5 linked regions of the Oryzias latipes genome follow. The main gene of each other region encodes a partner of the protein of the gene in region 5 in a complex. Links are inferred from orthologs where the notes say so. Each region holds a gene or a part of one and is shown on either strand. Other genes may lie near its edges. The genes, in order: lamtor2, flcn, fnip1, lamtor4 and lamtor1.

The links.
Region 1: lamtor1 (region 5) and lamtor2 share a complex: the UniProt entries of both Homo sapiens proteins name them as parts of the ragulator complex. The link is inferred for Oryzias latipes from reciprocal best matches to the Homo sapiens genes LAMTOR1 and LAMTOR2.
Region 2: lamtor1 (region 5) and flcn share a complex: the UniProt entries of both Homo sapiens proteins name them as parts of the lysosomal folliculin complex. The link is inferred for Oryzias latipes from reciprocal best matches to the Homo sapiens genes LAMTOR1 and FLCN.
Region 3: lamtor1 (region 5) and fnip1 share a complex: the UniProt entries of both Homo sapiens proteins name them as parts of the lysosomal folliculin complex. The link is inferred for Oryzias latipes from reciprocal best matches to the Homo sapiens genes LAMTOR1 and FNIP1.
Region 4: lamtor1 (region 5) and lamtor4 share a complex: the UniProt entries of both Homo sapiens proteins name them as parts of the ragulator complex. The link is inferred for Oryzias latipes from reciprocal best matches to the Homo sapiens genes LAMTOR1 and LAMTOR4.

What each region holds. Positions count from the first base shown.
Region 1 is NC_019874.2:28,620,136-28,624,613, forward strand, and holds the start of lamtor2 (ragulator complex protein LAMTOR2), read right to left. Parts: upstream 2,984-4,478; 5' UTR 2,838-2,983; coding exon 2,770-2,837; intron 2,154-2,769; coding exon 1,991-2,153; intron 1,041-1,990; coding exon 951-1,040; intron 1-950. UniProt on the Homo sapiens protein: As part of the Ragulator complex it is involved in amino acid sensing and activation of mTORC1, a signaling complex promoting cell growth in response to growth factors, energy levels, and amino acids.
Region 2 is NC_019874.2:19,462,077-19,466,539, forward strand, and holds the start of flcn (folliculin), read right to left. Parts: upstream 2,868-4,463; 5' UTR 2,798-2,867; exon of another isoform or gene 2,680-2,797; intron 2,542-2,679; coding exon 2,329-2,541; intron 1,861-2,328; coding exon 1,714-1,860; intron 1,637-1,713; coding exon 1,415-1,636; intron 1,337-1,414; coding exon 1,170-1,336; intron 1,063-1,169; coding exon 971-1,062; intron 1-970. Other genes in the region: leng9 (leukocyte receptor cluster member 9), read left to right, coding at 3,378-3,510, 4,344-4,437. UniProt on the Homo sapiens protein: Multi-functional protein, involved in both the cellular response to amino acid availability and in the regulation of glycolysis.
Region 3 is NC_019872.2:4,896,888-4,900,656, forward strand, and holds part of fnip1 (folliculin-interacting protein 1), read right to left. Parts: intron 2,973-3,769; coding exon 2,837-2,972; intron 1,855-2,836; coding exon 1,653-1,854; intron 1,410-1,652; coding exon 1,324-1,409; intron 1-1,323. UniProt on the Homo sapiens protein: Binding partner of the GTPase-activating protein FLCN: involved in the cellular response to amino acid availability by regulating the non-canonical mTORC1 signaling cascade controlling the MiT/TFE factors TFEB and TFE3.
Region 4 is NC_019881.2:23,887,754-23,890,828, reverse strand, and holds lamtor4 (ragulator complex protein LAMTOR4), read right to left. Parts: upstream 1,545-3,075; 5' UTR 1,439-1,544; coding exon 1,436-1,438; intron 1,363-1,435; coding exon 1,279-1,362; intron 1,217-1,278; coding exon 1,072-1,216; intron 1,007-1,071; coding exon 909-1,006; 3' UTR 548-908; downstream 1-547. Other genes in the region: ADP-ribosylation factor 4, read left to right, coding at 12-98. UniProt on the Homo sapiens protein: As part of the Ragulator complex it is involved in amino acid sensing and activation of mTORC1, a signaling complex promoting cell growth in response to growth factors, energy levels, and amino acids.
Region 5 is NC_019871.2:21,798,215-21,802,439, forward strand, and holds the start of lamtor1 (ragulator complex protein LAMTOR1), read right to left. Parts: upstream 3,023-4,225; 5' UTR 2,737-3,022; coding exon 2,695-2,736; intron 1,558-2,694; coding exon 1,412-1,557; intron 1,317-1,411; coding exon 1,239-1,316; intron 807-1,238; coding exon 683-806; intron 1-682. UniProt on the Homo sapiens protein: Key component of the Ragulator complex, a multiprotein complex involved in amino acid sensing and activation of mTORC1, a signaling complex promoting cell growth in response to growth factors, energy levels, and amino acids.

The sequences.
Region 1 (4,478 bases), on a different chromosome or scaffold from region 5:
GAGGCGCACAAACACAGTTCGGGAAAGTTAACCAGTTGTTCACAGATTCAGACTTCCTGACACAATAAGTACGGTATATCAAACATTTTATACTGACAGCAAGTGTCTATATTGGCTCATCTTAACTTACCAACGACTTACAAAGACTGTAAATAGTAAATAAATAAAAATTGCTCTTTTTTTCATTCTTTTCAAGAGAATGAAACTGATGGTGGGCTGATAAGGGACCGCCTACAAAGTGCAAGTTCTGGGAAAAATAGACCAAGATAAATAAATACATAATAATAATAATAATAATAATAATAATAATAAAAATACTAACGATTAGTCAATGGTTCTGTTGAAAGTCACAAATACTCATCATAATTATGCTACAACGATGAATTTGGAAATTGATTATTTGATATTATAACAGGGAAATGAATCACATCTGATCAAAAATGTTCAACAGTTCTGAAGATGTTAAGGCTACAGTCACCAAACTTTCTCATAGGGCTAATTAACCTATTTTGACTAGTTAACTATTAACAAGTTTGTACTAGTTTATAGTTAACTATTTTTTCTATTTGATAATTGCATTACTTTTCCTTGATTGTTGAAGATACTTCCCAGAAGTGCTCTGTTTACGTGTAAAATGCTAAAAGAAGCTTAATAAAATTTTAAAAATTTGGAAAATGTTGATCTGTTTATTAAGTTTGTCATTTTTTTTTGGATGTGCTACGACAGTAACAGATCGGAACTCGGTATCGGCAGCAACTCCAAATCCAATAACTTGGAATCGGAATTTGATCTGAAATATGCTTCACTTCCACTAAACTACATAGAGGAGAGTGAATGAATAAACGAGTGAATAAATGTCCTTGGTTGAACTGAACTTGTGGGGTCAGGAATCGGGACTCGTTGAGGAACCACAGCTGATGAAGACCCATGTGAGGAAGCAGCGCCCTCACCTTTGCTTTCAGCATCCCGAAGCCCACCGTCTCTTTGGCGTACATGCAAAGCAGCAGGTTAGCCACATGCGTTATGGCCACTCTCCCTTCCTGAGAAAAAAAAAAAAAGCCTTTTTATTGGTCGAGTCCAAAGACTAAAAGTCACTTTTCTTTACAGGTTGTAACTTCCAATCATAAATCCACTAAGTCAGATGGATTTCTCACAGAACACTGCTTTGCTGTTAGTTTGCGATGCTCAGATTTACGACAGTATTTATGTAAGCCTGACCTTCACTCAGTTCAGCAGCTCTCAGCTAATGTGCAGACATGAATTATTACTGAATAAGGGGCGATGAGGCGCAAATCGAACTGAATCACAGGTTTGAAAGAATGGATCTCAGCTTTTTTTATGCGACCAAATGCAGCAGGTTTCCCCTCCATCTACAGAGCAAGACTCTCCACAAAGCCCCTCCTCCTAAGGCAGAGTGGGGGTTTTACTGTGTGGATTCGCTGATTTTCGGGAATTAAGTTAAACATTTTGCCTCAGAGCTGGAAGTTAGAAATAAGAAAATCATCTGGTTGTTTGCATGAGCGAAGATTATTTATGTATCATGAGAAAAATGATGCAGGACGTTGACACGTTTGACTTGAGCAATGTTTACAAAACTGTAGAGCGGGGCAAAAAAAAATGGGCAAGGAGTACAAGGAGTGTGTGTTTGGTGTCTTCCTGTGGTGCTATTGGTATCAAGAGCCAGCTCCTTCCATATCTGAAGGTTTGCTCAAGTCCCATTATTCATATTTTGTACAACATTAAAAGAGCCATTTGGTCCCGTTTGAAACAGACCAGACTGAACAGGTGCCACCATGTATGCATGCTAAAGCAAAACTACAAACACATTATTTTATTTAAATAATACACATTTTTTCTTTAAAGTCACAATGGAGGGGGAAAAAAAACAGCTGTGATGCCTCAAATTGCAGACCCCTTCAGAGATGTTGGGGCATTCATAGAATCTAACTTCAACAAAAGGGCTGAAGGAAAACAAGGAGAAAGTTCCCACCATGCAGTCCATGAGGATGAACTTGAGTTTGTCCTCGTTGAAGGCCTGGTGGCCGTTCTTGTCGTAGGCGGCCCAGATGTTGCTGGCGATGGCAGCGGTCACTCGAGCGTCTGTGTCGCCGTAACCGGAGTACGCCAGGAGGGAGCCTTCGTTGTTCAGTAGGCTGCTCGCACAGAGAGACGGTTGTTCATTACACACAAAAACAACACAATGATGAAAAGTTACAGTGACAAAGTTTTAAGACAAACGCCATTCCGTTTTCAAACCATGAAAACCAAGTAATTTTGTCAGGAGGTCTCCAGGACAGAAATTGATCGATTGATGCAAAATGGCTAAAACGATGAACAGATCTATATCAAACAGATCTACATCAAACATTACAGATTACTTATTTTCCCACACCACTTTTTAAATGTAAATCGATTTTTTTTGCTTTTTTTCTACCTGATAATGATATTTTGTACCCTGAACAGACTTTCTAAGCAAAAATAAAAACGAACCAAATATATTTTAAAAAGACTCTTATTTTGAAATCAAAATTCAACTGCTTGAAATTCGTGTAAAACTGTATTTGATTTAACAGCGGAAAACAAATCTTGAAAAAATATATTTGTATTTATTGCAATAAATAATGAAAATGTAAAAGTAGTATTAAGTTGGTGAAGTAATAATTATATAAACGTGTCGTTTCAGGGGAGCTTTAAGAGTTCTAAGGAGCTAGACGCAAACAAACCGCTGCTAGCTAGCTGGATGTTAGCCTGCTAGCTCGCGGTACTCACAGGGTGCTCTGGACGCCGTTCGTGTTCGCCTGGCTGAGAACTTGCGTCAGCGCTTTGGGTCGCAACATGGCCGACCTCTCTCAGGAGAAAAAACCCAGAAAAATGATCTGACTGAATAAACACGGGGCTTAAAAAAGAAGAGAGAACTGCTCAATAACAGAGCAAAGTCAGCTGACTCGATTCTTCTTCTGTTTCCTTTTCCGGTACATTTAGAGATGCATCATGGGAATTGCAGTTATATCCAAATACATGTTTCCTATTTATATTTATTATGTTTTTCTTTAAACTTTATTTTTAAATTTTTAATTATTCCTGATTTTTTCACAAATCTTTTTGTTTTAAATTACTTTCCCATGTAGTCTGTAAACATTTTTGAGAACTGGAATATGGCCATTCATTCATCTTCCTCCGTTTTGTCCATTTCTGGGTCACGGGGCTGCTGGAGCCTATCCCGGCCACTTGTGGGTGAAGGCAGGGGACACCCTGGACAGATTGCCAGTCTGTCGCAGGGCCACAATCACACTCCCATTCACACTCACACCTATTAGAGCTGCTAGAATATGACCAGTTCTTTGGAAATGTATCATGGGAAATATAGTTTGCTTCAGTGAACGACGAAAACTTCACCTCCTTGATTCATCTCCTTTGTCATATTTAGAGTTTTTATCTCAAAGATTTTATGCTTCAAAGAAGTGTACTTTTTATTCTACTTCAACCAAAGAAGTGTTATTTAAATCTTTTGACACTCCTCCTTACAGTAAAGGTTAGTCTGCTTTGAGGTTTTTATTGTCTGCTGGCTTCCTGGTGGGAGGACATGTTTGCGCAAAGTGTTTGGCAGAATCGTTTCCCTCCTGCCCTTTGGACATCAGAAAAAGTGATCGGGCCGAGGATATTATTGTTTTTTTTTTGTCTGTAAGAAGAGGATTTTGTTCTAAGAGGTAAATCTGTTGTGTTTGAGTGGACACACTTATAAAAAAGACACAAACCAATCATTTGTATAAACAAAAGTTGATTTGATTCCATGCTGTAACTGCTATGGTACATGAGTGCATGGTTAATATGTATTCTCTGATATGTGTTTTGGTAAAATTATAGTCACACAAGTGCATCCGTTTACAGTTTTGTTTATACCGTCAACCATTGAAAGCTACAGACGTGGTGTAAAATCAGAGAGGATGTAGTCTCATTTTGGCAGAAGGAAATAAACACATTTCCTTCTAGATATGTGACAAAAAAGTTAACTCTTTAAATTTATAGTAAAACTCTTTGAGGTCATTCTGACACCTCTGAAGTTTAGATGAAAGGTCAAAAAATCAGTTTTTTCTATTCTAGTCTCTGCAACTGAAAGGACAAATGATGATGACGAATAAAAGTGTCTTTTGGAGAAAAGAAATTACAAAAAAAATCTAATCAGTATGTACAGTGTGGCTGCAAGAAAGGCTAAATATCACCAATTTTAAAAAGAGTATGAATTTGCAAAACTTTGAGTGAATACTAATACACCTTTATAAAATGGCAGAAAATACATTTTATTTCATTATCAGAACATTAACCCTTGTGCTATCATAGGCACTTTAACACAGAGAGTTAGGTCATGTAGACCCACTAGAAGTGCTCTGAACCTTTTTTCTTCAATGATTTGTGATCTTCACTGGTGTCCATGGATTACATGAAATCTTTCCACCTTTATCCACCTTTGTCATGGCAGG
Region 2 (4,463 bases), on a different chromosome or scaffold from region 5:
GAAATAAACAGGATGAAGGTATACCACAGTCATAATAACAGAAAGCACCATGTTTGACTTGACTTTCTTGCATTTTAATTTAAGTAAATCTGCTGCAGCAGGGGGGGTTGTCATTTTATTTTGAAAGGACTTTTTAATGTGCAGCTGTCAAAAGTAAAGTGATGTAATTCTATTCTTGTACATAATTAAATCTAATTTCATAGATAAATGGCTTAATGGGCACAAAAAACATAAATAAAGTTTATTTTTGTAAAACAGTGGGACTTCTCGGTGGGTTTTGGTCAGTTTGAAGTTGGACCAAATGTCTCTTTAACCCTTAAAGGTTGCAGACCCCTGAACTAAATAAAAGACCCAATTTGTTTTAAGGCAATACATTTTGAATATCTTGTTGAGTAAGTTGATCTCGAAAACATCTCGTTTTTATATGAATATCATTAATAAAACACATTTTTTCCTCTTTATATAATATTTTTCAGTTGAAGTTTTATTTGTCTGGTGAGTGGTTTTGTTTCATATGTGTTTTTTAAATAATCCTTAATACAAATGGATCTTAAAATGTGTAATTCTAGTCTTATTTCAGGATGATTTGTTGGACTGTTGCTTGACATAAGACATATTTGGGGGGGAAGAAAAGTGTACAAATATACCTACTTTATAGGTATAAAACTTTTTTTTAAGAAAATCAGGCTTAGTTCAAGACCTAATATTTCCCATTTTAAGAGCAATAAACCTAAATATGAGTATTTATAGCTAAAGTCATCATTTAATTAGTCTTAAAAAGGGCGGGAGATCAAAACTTTTTTGAGAAATCTTACCAAGACAAATTCTACTAGTTCCATAGGCAGATTTTTTTCTTTTATAACAAGGGAAAGGCATCCTATATTTTATATATTTCTTATTTGTTTTAAGAAGGAAATCTTCTAGTGTGATCAGACACAAACAGTTTTGTAGCCCTGGACGTCATGCTTACCTGTTCGTCTTTCTATAAGCACCAGTGTGTCCTCTGTGGGGGCACCTTCAAGAAGCTTCTCCGTCAGTCGGCTCCCACAGGCTTTTAGCAACCTGCAGAAAGAAGGGTGTGAAGACCCAAATCATTATTGACAGCTGAGAAGCTACAAATCAGCCTAAAGGGGAGTAATGACAGAGTGACGCCGGGTCAACTGTCTCACCAGCTAAAAGAAGAGTGCAGGCTGGCCCAGAGATTGGGATGCTGTGTGAGAGAGGTCAGTGATCGGGCGGCGTTCCCACTTCTTTGGTGTGGAAAGACTGCGGGGGAAAATGCATTGTTGATCCGCATGGCTCGATGAGGGCAAACCCCCTGCTCACTGTCAAATACCTAATAAAAGAAAAATGTGTTCGGTCAATTAAGCTCAATACAGAATCAACAAAGGGGTTGTTTGTTTTTGTGGCCTACTTTTAGAGCTGTGCTCTGCAGGCTGTGTATGGTGAGCTTTAGGTGACGTAACAGGAAAGGCCAAGAATTGATGAGGTAGATCCTGTCCATGGCTACAATAACGATGCTGTACCAACGCTGGAATCCTCTGGCCAGGCTGTCTTTAATAAAAAAGGTGTGCGAAAACACAAACCCCTGTTGCTCGTCTCCAAAAAATATCGGTCCTTCACGTCCAGGACACACCTGAGGCAAAAACAGAGAAAACTGGGTCGGAAATTAGGGCCAAAAATGAGAGCAGACATCGTTTAAGCAAAGTTTACCTCACAGCTGAGGCTGCGTACACAGGCTTGGCGCACCATGCTAAAAAGCTGCGGCTGCCTGGGATGCTGATGGCTCAGAAATCGAATTCCTGTTTCATCATCGAAGCTCACAAAGCCAGGGTGAGATGCAGGCAGAGATCTGCATCCCTAAGAAGGTGTTAAAGAAAAAGAAAAAAACAGAAAATGACATGTGGGAAATGGATTACCAGCCGATAAGTTCTCTTTAGAGACCCACTCCAATGAAAATTATGTTTCTGTTGTTTTTAACGTGTGTTTGTGCCATTTTTCTGATGATAGAATGTATAAAGAAAATTAAGCTTCAAATTGCCTCTCTGCGTATTTCTGTATTCGTCTTCAGTCTTTGCTTTCCTCGTCCAAACTGTACGGCTGGTTAGCTCCAATATTGGTCGGCATTTTGTTGCACAGGGAATGTTAGAATGGGGGTCAATTACAGGGGCCGTAAACAAGTAAACAAACAGGCTTGCATGCAGGCTTACTACCAACCCCCCCCCCCCAACAGCACAATCATAATTAAAAGGCCACTGGGAACGTTTTGAAAATAGATGATCGGAGTGGGACTTTAAGGTCCAGGTGCCAAGAGCGTGATAAACTGACCTCACACATCTCTCCTCTAGGTGTAGTAGAGCTGTTGGCCCTCATGGTGAGACCTTCACCCTCACGGTCCCCATCTCTATCTCTGTCTCCTGGCACCGGGGTACCAGTCTGGGAGGACGGGTCTGGGGATGGGGGATGCAGGGCTTCTGTGCAGAAGAGGGTCCGGGGGCCATGGAGCTCACAGAAGTGACACAGAGCTACCAGCGCATTCATCTGAAATGGAGAACACACGAATCCATCAATAATTTAACATTCATTGCCGTTTTGACTACAAACAGATATTTACAGGTAGACTGTATGTCTCCTAACAGTTTGTGACGTTACAAGTCAATCATAGAGAGTTCTTCTTACCTTCAGCGGAGTCGAGCTAAATGCTGCTCAAAACGACTTTTATGGAACAGCCATGGCTTTTTAGTTTAAAAATACAAAAAACATGTTTCGGGTCGTTTTTTTAAACTAAAAAACTCACCAATAAGTCAACAAGTTACGCTTTTCGTTTGTCACCGGGAACTGCTAGCAAACAACAACAGAAGGGTCACATGACGCGGAGTCACGCGCTCGAGCAGAAATGATGCGTCTAAGCAAGTTTTATGTTCATTGGCACTCTTGGACCTCAAATTCTTGACGTTTGAAAATGTAAATAAATTCTCCAATTATTTTTCTTTAAAAATTTACGATTACATTCCTGAAATCAAGAATCATTTAGTCAAAAATAAGACTAGTCGATTGAACACTAACTACATTACCCATAGGTCCACTCGAGACTGAGGTCAAAGTACATTTGAGTTGGAAGTCTGCATTTTCTTACTAGTCTGCTTAAATGTCAAAATATGTGACCGTGGTTTTGATTTTTGAGTGCGTTTAAGTATATCTGCTTTTTGTAAAAACAATAATATTTCTAAAATTGTTTATTTTTAATCGCCAAAAACTAGACACTTCCGTGTGTTCCCACACACAGTAAAGAAAACCGGGTGTGTCCAGTTTATTTTTACTGACCAGTCAAAGGTAAAACTACCTCAACGAGGCAACAGGGCCCTTCATTTGTGACCATGGCGTCCCGTGGGACAGGGGCTCCCACGTTTTCACCTGAGGGCCAGGTAGATGGTGGCGGGACCCTCACAGAACCAACCAATAACCCAACTGTTGGAACAGCTGACACCCAGAAGCCCACTGATGTCGATGGTAACACCATATTTTTATGTGTTTTTAACATGTATGTACTTATTGCTGTTAATCTAATTGGTTAATCTAAATTGGTATGTTGTTCAAATCTAATTAGGATTTTAGGGGAATCAAACTCCATGCCAGATTATTATTAGTATTATTTTTTAGAAGCTATCAGCGTTCAAGTCATCAATAGCAGTGTTTCTGGGAAGGAATTTGTTCTGACAGCGTGTTTGTGTGAGCCTCTGGCCCTTTAAAAGGGAGCAGAATGCAGTGGACCCCCAGCCCCTCACTTCCTGCAGTGTTCATGTCCTGGAAACATGTCTGGGTTTTTAGCAAGTGAGTCAGGACTGAAGACTCCCACCTCCAGAGACTCCCACCTCCAGAGACGGAAAGGAATCGGTGTCTGCTCCCACTCCCACCCCTACTCCCCAACCTTAAGTCACAAGGAAATTTCCTCAGAACAGACAAACCTCCCTGCTGCTTTCAGTAAACTGTAATATCAGAAGGGAGTTTAATAACTTCAGCGTCGGGGAGAGTCAGCTTTCCCATTATTGTACGGGGGATTAGGTTATTACCACCTGTTGTTTACTCTCTGATTAGTGCACTGGAGATGAATTATGAGGTCCATGTCTATGGAAGGGTTAGAACAATCAAATATAATATCATTTATGTCAGGGCGAGGAATGCAGAGGAGCAGATTTAATCATTTGTGACGCACAGACTGATCTTTGTGTGGATGCCAAGAGCAACAATAATGACCATATGAGTTTTCAAATGAAAAATCTGATCAGTTCGTTTTTTAGTCTTGACTGCATATGTTTTCCTGTTATCTTTGCTGTGATTTGCAGACTTGGCAGAGCTGAAAAGCGATGGAGTCAAAGTGTGCCAGTTTTTCCAAAGTGGAAAATGTCGCTTTGGCCACAAATGTCGCTCCTTCCACAGGTCCGATAACCTTTATCTGTCTTTAT
Region 3 (3,769 bases), on a different chromosome or scaffold from region 5:
TTTACCAAGCATTGTTCTGCAAGTCATTATATAAAATCGTTCACATATTTAAGAAGTGTAGCTTTTGTTTTGAGATTTACAATCCAACTACAGGTTACCATCAGCAAAGAATTTCTTGTTTTCTGCTTTTAGATCAGCTGAAGAACAAGTATGGCTGCAGAGCTGCACGGTTTCTGGTTACTTCGCTCATAGGTGTTCACTGCGTGTCTGGTTTTGAAATACATGTAGTCAGAAGGGACAGGGCTTTAACCCTGGGGCATCAATCCACGACTCAGGACTCTCAGTTGTGCTGCAACACCCCATCATAACCCAAGCCCAGGCTGCAGTGGCTTTTATGTTCCCCGTCCTTCTGCAATGTGTGCAGCTTATCTTTGCAGACATGTGCGTCTGCCCACCCTCTACCAACGTCAATGCCACATCATCATAAATAGTCAAGAGAATTTCTTCCAGTTTCCCCGTCTAATGTTCCGTGAAGTCAAAGCCCCTAATGGCAAAGGAGGCTACCTTTCTATTTAGGTGTCTAGAGGTGAGATTCTTCAAGCGTTTTTAGCCCAGGGCACCAGCGTTAGTCTTGCTGGCACCCACATACTGTTTACTATTCTGGTGCTTTCTTGTGACCAGACTCTGCAGTAGATAGGGTTCCTACTTGGGAAGCTTGGGTTATTGAGGCCAGGTGTCAACAGGCATATGACTGCTGCAACGCAGACCTCAAACAGGGAACTGACAGCCAGTGGGAAAGGAGCAAGTGAAAGTAGTTGGAGGCTGGCATGTGCAGCACTTATATGGGAGGGCTTGCTGAGAGCCGTAATCATATGATTTAGGGCAGAACTTCTGACACGTATGCAAATATTTATCAAGTCTACATTCCTCACAGTTTTTGAACCCAAAACAGAATCTCCTCTTCAGCTCCCCTCAATCTTGAAATCTGCATCGTCTCCAAAGAGACATTTCCATCACATTAGCAGAACAGTCGTGTCAAAGTCAAGTGGAAACGTTCTGAACTATTTTTAAAGATTTCTTACCCAGAAACAGATTGACAGTAACAGAACTAACCTCTTCTCACTGTCAGCACATTTCTTTTTAACTAAGGAGAGCCGAGCAAAATCCAGCACATTTTGTTAGCCTCTGATGTGAAATGAAAACCACTTTTTATTGCTAATTATTCCCCTGTTCTTTGCCAGCTTCGGTAAATATGAGGATGGACAATATAAAGGAAAAGGACAAAGAATCTTGTTTTTTGGGTGGTTGCATTTGGAAAATCTTTCCTACGTATCACAACATGAATTAAATGAATATTCATGATGAATTGAGGGAGCTGCTAACCTGAACTCGTTCAGTCCATCCACCATTCGGCTGTGGGCCAGAGCTCTCTGACTGGCATCAGCTGACCGCCGACTCATCTTCATGGCCTTGAAAGTGGAAATGCACAGATGAAACTCTAGATATACAACCCCAAAGCTGTCAATCTGAGACACTTGTGAGGGAGAAGAGGAAGAGGGGCAGGAAAGCAAGATAACACTAAACGGGAACTCTTCCAGAGCCGCACACAGTACAGCAACAGTCAATAGTACTGGGTAAAAGGGAAGGCAAGGGTACTAAACCATCAGTGTGACGCTTTAGAGTTTAGATGAAGAACATTTACATTCACTGACCTGCTCAATAGCGCTCTTGAGTTTGTTCATGTGACTCTCAAAGAGAGGGAAGTGGGAGAAGAAGAACTCCTGAAAGTAGCTGTTTTCCTCAGAGTTGGGAGACAGCGTGAAAATAACGCCAATGGCGATCTTCTTCTTCCGGGCAACGCCGAGATTTGGACCGCCACTTTCGTCAGACATGTTGAAGCTTTCCTCCACTGACCTGATCACATGACAGTGGACGGGGATTCAGTTTCCAAAGAAGGGCTAAGGCAGAAACAAATCCTAGCATGACGTGTGTTTGCTAAAAATCCCAACAGCCAATTTGATTTTTTTAGTAAGATTTATTTAACCCCGGAGAACCCACGGGGTCAAATTTGGCTGCTTCTGTAAATAAAATAAAAAAATGTATTTCATTTTTTTCTTGCTTTTTTATTTTTCACTAGTATTTATATTTCCTTTTATTTCTATTTCCCCCCCACTTTTTTTTATTCAAATGGGTTTTTTTCCTCTTTTTGGCCAATGTCAACTGCTGCACAAACTGAAATAACAAACAAAACTAATTGTGAAATTAACTTTAAAGGCCTATAAAGAAATTGTTCTTGGGTTGTCCAGGGTTTAACAGTTAACACATGCAGATGTTGACAGCTGAGTTTATAGTTACTGGCCAAGAACTTCCTTTCTGCTGCAGCACTGTGTTTCTACAAAGTCTCTGCATACAACATCAGCGTTGGTCTGGTTCCCAAACGCCTGGCCGACTGTGAGGAGGTCTTAGCACAGTCGACTTTACAAAAGCCACAAAAAGGCCTTAAATACTCAGTGTGACTTCAACAGAAGCTCTTTGCAGTTTGCAGAGTTTTAGGATCTTGAAAGGTGTTGGAAAAAAAAAAAGATCAAATGCTGTTAGTAATATGAATCTCTATGGGTTTTATTTCATCATAAAAGGAGAATATGTGACTGGTGTGATCCAAGAACTTCATTTATTTATGTTCCATCTTAAACATTTATGCCAAAATCTTAATGCAAAATAATATTAGTAATGATTAAAACTATAAACAAGTTTATGAGTTTAATAATTAAACAATTGGTTGCATATTAGAAACAATTAAGAATATTTTTACAGTGCATTTGAAGTTTTTGATACTTTCATCCTGTTTATTTTAGTGAAAGGACTTAAAAACGTGTTTGTTCCCATAATTCCTCACCACCGGGGAAAGACGCCGTTCTCCAGGCTTGTAGTTTGACTGCGGAGCCAGCGGCGCTGATAGCTGGAGGCGCAGCTGCTGGTTAAGGAGGAGCCGGGGGACGGGAAAGGAGTGATCAAGAGGCTGCTCAGTGAGGCTGAAAGGATACAAGAGACACGGCAGAGGTGAGAAGCAGAAGAAATGATTTAGGGGGTTGTGGGTAACGGTAAAAAAAAAAAAAGAGTGCGTGGGAGTACGTGGGGTTACGCACTCTCAATGACACATCCTTCATGCACACACAGACAGAGCAGAATACGACAGACACACTTCATGAAACACGACACTTCACAAGAAATGCAGCTCGATAAAACAAACCCAAACACTCCCCCTCCAAATCCAGCCTTTCACTATTGAACAGCTTTTATGTGAAATCCGGTATAATCTACCCTATTAACAGTCACATGCTGGAAGTGTTGGGAAATCTGGCTCTACACCAGGGCCTGGCATGATAAAGACAACACGCAGTACATTGCCCCTGATCACGAGGTTATTTACAACCCAGCCAGAAGGCACGGAGCAACAGTCACATGAACTGTGAAAAAGGTGTGTTATCTTTTGTCTGTGGAGCTTAATGACATCACATGGTGATAAATATAAGTGTAAGATCTATTACAGGAAACTTTACTAGGCAAGAGGAAACTAGGTTAAAAAAAGGAACATGCGAGCAGTGGGTGGCAGGCGGTGAGATCAAAGGACGAGGCTTAAATGAAAAGTTCATTTAGTAGTAGGAGGCTTGAGAGCTGCTATATTTAATCCTCCGCATGTGACCTGTGTTCAAACAGAAAGCACAATGCCAGTCGTGCCAATGACACATGGTGACGTTTGGGGAGGGGGAGCAGAGCTGGGGGCATAAAGGTCAGTTTCCATGGGACAAAGTTTCCAAGTTCATTGAGG
Region 4 (3,075 bases), on a different chromosome or scaffold from region 5:
GTGTGTTGCAGTGGCACGTCCAGGCCACCTGTGCCACTCAGGGGACCGGTCTGTACGAGGGGCTGGACTGGCTGTCCAATGAGTTGTCCAAACGCTAAGCAGCTGACTGATGATGTCACCGTGTACAGAGGAAGAGGAGGAGCCTTCCGCCAGACTGTTCCTGTTTTTTTTTTCTTTTTTTAAATTATAGCTGTAGAAGGAAGTGATGTCACAGACTCTGAGGTTTCCCATCATCCTCTTCTTCTTCTGCCGGTGTTTGTTCTTTTATGCGCATGTTTTAAATCCAGATCATGTGACAGGATGTTTTGGGAGAGGGGTGGGGCTTGGGGCAGGTGAGAGCTACCTGGGCAGGTGACGAGTCATTCCACAGCCGGACCGGCGCCCCCGTCATTCCTGCCTAATGTGAAGAAGAGATGAAGAAGATGACGCAATAAAGCTTTTTCTTGTCACGCTGGTGGGCTTTGTTCTGAACCAGAACCTGCAGACTCTAGACCAGACCGGTCTCAGAACTGAATCTGGTTAAGGATCAGACAAACTTCAGGTTTTCGTATGTTTATTTGAATCAGTTTTCAAAACATTAAAACTTTATTTAAATGACAAGTTCTGACAGAAAATCTGGTTTCTTTGGGAGATGAAGATTTTATTTCAGAATCCAAAACATGCAGCAGAACCTTTGCAGGATCGGTCTTCCGCTCTGCCTTCAGAACCACTGTAGCTGACCTTGTTCTGTAAAGGTCCAGAACCTAAACGTAACTGGGTTCTGTCCAATGATCCAAACAGAACCGAAACTGTTTAGAGAACTTGCTCCAGTTCTGTGCGATTGGTGGGTCACATCAGTTCATTACTGAGCAAGTCGGTTCCGACTCGGTCCAAAGGTGGACTGTCGTCCTCTCCGCCTGGCCCCGCCTTCACGCTGTGACGTGCTCAGGATGCGCGTGCTGACGTTTGACCACAAACACCTTCTGACCGGAAACGGTCACCGCCAAGACGAAGTCCTCCAGAACCACTGCGAACAGAACCGAGTCAGGGCGGGGCATCACCAGCCGAGCTCACCTGTCAGGTGTGACTTACCGGACATGCGCTTAAACGGGACGTCCTCGGATCCGGGTGACCGGAAGTGGTCCGCAGATCCAGATAACCGGAAGCGGTTCGCGGTCCGGACCATCTGCATTATGACGCTCGCCGTGTGCTCGTCGTTCTCCAGCTCACCTGCCGACTGCACAGGTGAGCCTGCTCAGGTTCGGTTCGGTAACAAAGCTGGGCCCGGATACTACTTACCGCCAGAACTCCGTCCTCGCTGATCACCAAGTACCCGAGCTGGTCCGGGATCCGGTCCAGACCCGCCGTCAGCGCCGCCGTGCTCTGCACACAACACACGTGAGGTTCGGTGAGGTTCGGTTCGGAAAAGCGGCACGGAGACAGAGAGCGAACTCACCATTCTTCCGGAAGATGATCCTTCACGTGACTGCTGACGTAGGCTGGTGGGCGGTGCCTTTCAGGCCTTCCAAGCGACTTCCGGTCTGTTTCGCTACACTTCCTGTTTACTTAGTCAATAGTTTTCTTCTATCTGAGCATGTATTGATTATGGGGTAGATTCTATGTAGACGTTTGTAGCAGACGTCTCTCATCTTGTTATTAATTAATCATTTCTGATTCAGGGTCCAAACATTTTTCCAGGACGAGTCAGGAATAAATGTTCTCCAATAGAAAACAGCAGAGGAACAGAAATGACGTTTAGCTGAAACACGGATGATCTTGTTATTCTTTAGTTGAAACAAGATTTTCCAACATTAGTGTCACTTAGAGACATGAAGGGAATATTTGCATCAAGTACAGTATTTTTAAAGAGTTCACAGATTCAGTAGGAACGGCGTCCCCAGTAGGATATTATTGTCAAACCAATGATTGTAAAATAAAGATTTGTTCTTGTAAAGGATATCTCTGTTATTCCAAATAAAAAACTTATGAGGAGAAAAGTTGTGTTTATAGATAAGAAAGAAGAATCTGTGAAAAGCAGAGATTTTCACTGGGATTCTGTCGATATTATAATCACAAAGCAGAAGAAAATGGAGAAAAGCTACTTTAGCAAACATGTGACGAGGGAAAATATTCCAAATGGAGAGTGGATTTTTGAAATATCATCCAGTTTATTTTAAAAGTATTATTTAAAGTAGTAAGATCAAGAAAATTTAGGCCTCCTTTTTCATAGGAGTTCATTAATACAGATTTTTTAAATAATGAATCCGGTTTTTCCAGATGAAGTTTAGCAGCATTTGATCAATAGATTTCAGAGTCTGATTGTCCAGAATTAGTCAGTCTAGAAATCCCCTCTGCTGTGGAGAGTGAATCCTTCCTCAGACTCTGGTCTCTCTGAAGCCTTTGGTTCAAACGTTTTTTGGCTTCATCAATGAGGGGGAGGGAAATTTAATGAGCATCTTTCTAAACTACTTTTGGAAATATTAACGCCTAAATATGTTACAGTTTCTATTACAGGACTGTTGCAGATTCTAAAGCACAATCTTCAACAGAAAGAAGTTCTTATTTGTTCAGACTGAGACGTAGACCTGAGACATCAGAGACAGACTGGATACGGTTCAGAGATCAGGAAACCTGACTGCTGTCTCTGAAGAAGAGAGTCGTGTCATCAGCAAACTGACTCATTAACATTTCTTTATTAAGAACTGAGACGCCTTTTAATTTATGAATATTGATACAATCAGCAAGAGTTTGGGTAACTAGAAGAAAAAGATACGGTGAAATAGGACCCCCCCCCCCATCTGATTCCTCTATTGGGATTGAATCTGGGGGGGGGCATTTTTTAGTTTGACAGAACAGTTAGCATTAGCATACAGAGTTTTAACTGTATTACAGAAGAAATGTATGAAGACAGCTGAAGATAAAATGATGATTAACAGAGTCAAACGCTTTATAAAAGTCTAAAAAGAGAATCAACTGTCATCAGAGATCAGGTGTGAGGAATCTAGAATATCAAGAACTAGACCAATGTTATTGGAGATGTGTCTGAATCCTGATTGTGTCTCTGCAATAACTGAGTTTAGAACAGATTTAAGTCTC
Region 5 (4,225 bases):
ATTACAGGAACATTAATAAAAGAAAAGGTGCTTTGTCCCAGACCATAGCTCTCAGAGCTAATGTCCATTTGCAGTCCCAACAAGCAGCAAGTCAAATATTGAAGAATTGAACAAAAATTGTGTATTTGCTCTTTAAAAGATGTCTTACAAACGTTCAGCTTTACAGTTAAAAGAGAAAAAGCAACTCTTCACATGAAGTACTTAGCGGAGACGTCTCCCAACGAGGTTTTTTTTTGCCCCCAATCCGATTCTGAGTCATTTGATTTTGAAAATCTGCATGATCAGAACGCTATTACAGACTTCTAATAGAATATTTTAAAATATAAAGCACTGATCATAATAATGAAAAAAAAAATTAATATTAATACTTCAGCAGAAAGTAACATGCGATTTCAACTGAGAGTCTAGTAATTAATATCACTTGTTTTCTTTTTTTTGTCCATTTGTACATTTTTAAGGGGGAGAATTCTGAATGTTTAGATGAAGAAATGGGTTGATGCAACAATATTTCAAAATACTCTGTTTTTATTTTCAAAACACAACCAAGATAAACCTCAACTTTTTTATAGGGTCTTTGTTTTGTTTTTTAAACAAATCACCTGGTTTTACAGCATAAAACAAGGCAGGACAAACAGGACATGGATTCAAGGACATGGATTAAAGTGCGTGTCAGTGTGGTTACCTGCTGAATATCTGAATATGACACCAGATCACTTGCAAGCACTTGGTGGGGCTGGGTAGTGAGTGAGGGGAGGGCTAGTGCTTTCTTCTGTGGTAGGCTGGTGCTCACTGCAGTCAACTTTGTACTGGAACCATAAAAAAAAACACAAGTTCAGCTTCAAAAAAAATTAACCCAAATGGTCTCGCTTGTGTCCGACCAGACTGCACAGTTTTGCACTATAACCGGCGGTTGCCTTTTACAGCTTGACAGCTGTTTTGTCTAAACAGCTTTTATAGGGAAGCACCAGCACTGCAGCAATTTTGTGGTTAAATTACCTCCTTCACAACTTCCTCAGGATACAAAGACCTCATCATCCTCAATTGCTTTAGATTCCACGAATAAAACTGTTTTTTTTGCTAAATCCGAACCATGTATACAAAATATTGCAGAATAAAAGTTGTTCAACCAATTACAATACAGAGGCTTGCAGTTTACAAATTTAATATAAATTTAAATTATTGGCTTACACATGCCAAAAGTTCAGTTGGTAACGAATAAGTAGTCTTCAAAGACATACCTGTATTGCTTGGCTTTGTCCATGTATTCATGCTGCTCCATAACAACAGAGTCAGCTGCTGAGACATCAATGATGTTCCTCAAACACAACAAAGAGATTTTCATTACTTGCGTTTGAGACTATAGTGTCAAAAGTCCCATTCTGGACCTATCCAAACATAAAAAGTGCCTTACTGTGCTGTCTTGACCAGGATGGATGTGAGAATGGCCTGCTCATCCGTCCGCGCTGATGGGACGCTAGGATTGATCCAGTCTGTCCCATTTGGAGGCTTGCTAATGGGGTTTGGGTGGGGGATAAGGGGCTTAATCTCATCAGGGTCCTTGCAAAAGTAGCAGAGCATCTATTCAGACAATTTATACACACTTCTGAATGAAAATGTCACAAATACTGTCTTAAAACTGTTTTCTGAAGTAGTTGCAACAATGAAAGCATGCCATTTTACCAGGACAAAAGACTGTAGATGACATGTGTGCAGCAAGTTACTCATTTTTACTTTTAATAAGTGAACATATTACAAACTCTTCAACTAAGAGAAATCTCTGCAACCTTTGCTAGTGCTGAACAATAAGTCTGTTATGATATTTATTTTTCATGTGTTAGGTTATCCAGTACCATTTCATTTTAAATATTTTAAGAAACTTTTTCACTTAACCGGAAAACAGTTCATCTCAACTTTTAATTCTTTAAATACGAATACAAAAACCCTTCATCCACTTGTACATGTTATGCTACCAGACCTTACACAAATCAATAAAAATAATGTTAATTAAACCTAATGTGTGTTTTATTATAGAGAAATGTTTAAACTAAATCAATTATACTTTAAATTTCACTATGCTTTTAACAGAACAATTTACGTGTTTGGTTTAATGTGCTTTGCAAAAATAATAAAAATAGAGGGCTAAACAGTTATTTTACTACAACTATGATGGCATATTTACAGTAACAAAGGAACGTCACACTTGTTTCCTTATACTAAAATAGCTTGGAGTCTGCATGATCATGTGACACTGAACTCTTCAAGACACAATACGGAAAAGTCTAGTTATGTATTCTGTACAGCCTACAGCTCACAATTGATTTCTAACCCATGATTAAACAGCACGAACATAATCTACGTAACAAACTGCAGGACGTGAATTTGTTTGATAAGTAAATATTTCGTATATATAAACCACTAAACTTTAACAAGAAATCCAGATGTTTACATTAACAGATATACAACTTGTTTACTTTACTTAAGCTACTAAATCAGCTCCGGGCTAGGCCTGCATTAGAGTTAGCTACATTGCTTTAGATGTTACAGAAATATCTGACACAAAACTAGAAGTTACATGGGCAGGTTTTCCTCTTTATATTTAAATATCAATTTTAAAAAAAAGTAAATACCACGGTAAACAAGGCAGAACCGAGCACCGTACAGTTATCGGGTTGTGGTTAGCTAGCGGCTAACTACCTGACTTGTGTTCTCGTCCTCGTTGCTGTAACAGCAACCCATGGCGGCGGCGTCTGAGGAGCCAAACTAGCAATGCGCGGCTTCCCTGTTCTCCTTCAGATACGAGCCGCGCGCTCCGTCTCCAACAAACATAAAATTCCTCTCCTGTGGACTTTTACTTTAACAACATCAAGAAGCAGGAAGCTACTGCAGCACAGCAGCTTTTCAGACAGGCTATCACATGACAGCAGCTGTGTTGCAACAACAACTCAACTTCTACTTCCGGTTCTCGTGAAGCCGCTGCGGCCTTCGTCACGTGATGCAGGTTGTTTCATGCAGAAGCACAGTGGCGCCCTTCGGCGGGGCCGTGTGCCATTAGAACCCTCACCCCTTGCTTCGTTAACCCTTGTGCTATCCTAGGCATTTTAACATTGGGAGCTGGGTCATCTAGACCGACTAAACAGTGCGCTGAATCTTTTTTCTTCAATGATTTGTGATCTTCACTGGTGTCCATAAATTACATGAAATCTTTCCACCTTTATCCACCTTTGTCATGGTAGGGAGAACACGTCAAAGTAAGGGTGGGGTCATCTAAGATAGCACAAGGGTTAAAACAAATAATATTATTTTTGTTCCAGGCAATTAATGAAATCTGATAAACAATTATGTCATCAATATTTGTAATAAAAAATAGTATAATGTTTTTAAATTATGTATTATAATATACATATAAATCTTGAATCTATCATTTTTACAATATATAAAAATTATTAAATAAATAAAAAATATTAACACCTTCGTTTTCCTCCAAAATTTATTTAAGATAAGAAAAAATAAATATCTGTGGTGAATTCCACCTTCAGGAGCTTTAGCTGAAAATAATCAGTCATCTGTTTAAAAGCCAAAGGAAAAAATTGAGCAGAGCTGAAAAAAAAGACCTTTAAGTGTTAAATAATTTATCAGAACCAACAGCAGGTGAACAGGCCCCGTTTATATCGCTGATAAAGAAAATGGATGGACAGACGGACAGATGGATTATTTATTTTGTTGCTGAAGTGATGAAAAAAGGTATTCTTTTTCTTGTTTCATCTAATAACTGACTTTTGAAATCTGAAGTGTTGGATTTTTGAGTGAACAGTAATGGATAACAAAACTCCGCTTGGGATAATCTGAATCCGAATTGCAACTAAAAAAGACCCACAGTTTGCTCAGAATGTTGGAGTTTTGCTAAGTCCAACTACCTGCCAATCAAAAAAAAAACACACACCTCCACATATTCCACACCTGTGGTGAACAAAAATAAATCAATAGAAATATAAAATTTTGCTTTAAAGTCCGACTTTTAGATGTGAGAGTCAGTGGGAAATTGCCTCATTCTGAAACCAGCCTCTAGTGGTCATTTAGGTGTGTGACAATGAATGGGCGTTAAATTTAAGGTTCTCCATTTCAGATATTCACAGTGAATGTTTGGAAATCCACATTTACTCATAAAAATCCTCACAGAAATTAAAGAAAAGAAAAAATGTACCAGTCATAATTAATGAAGATAGTT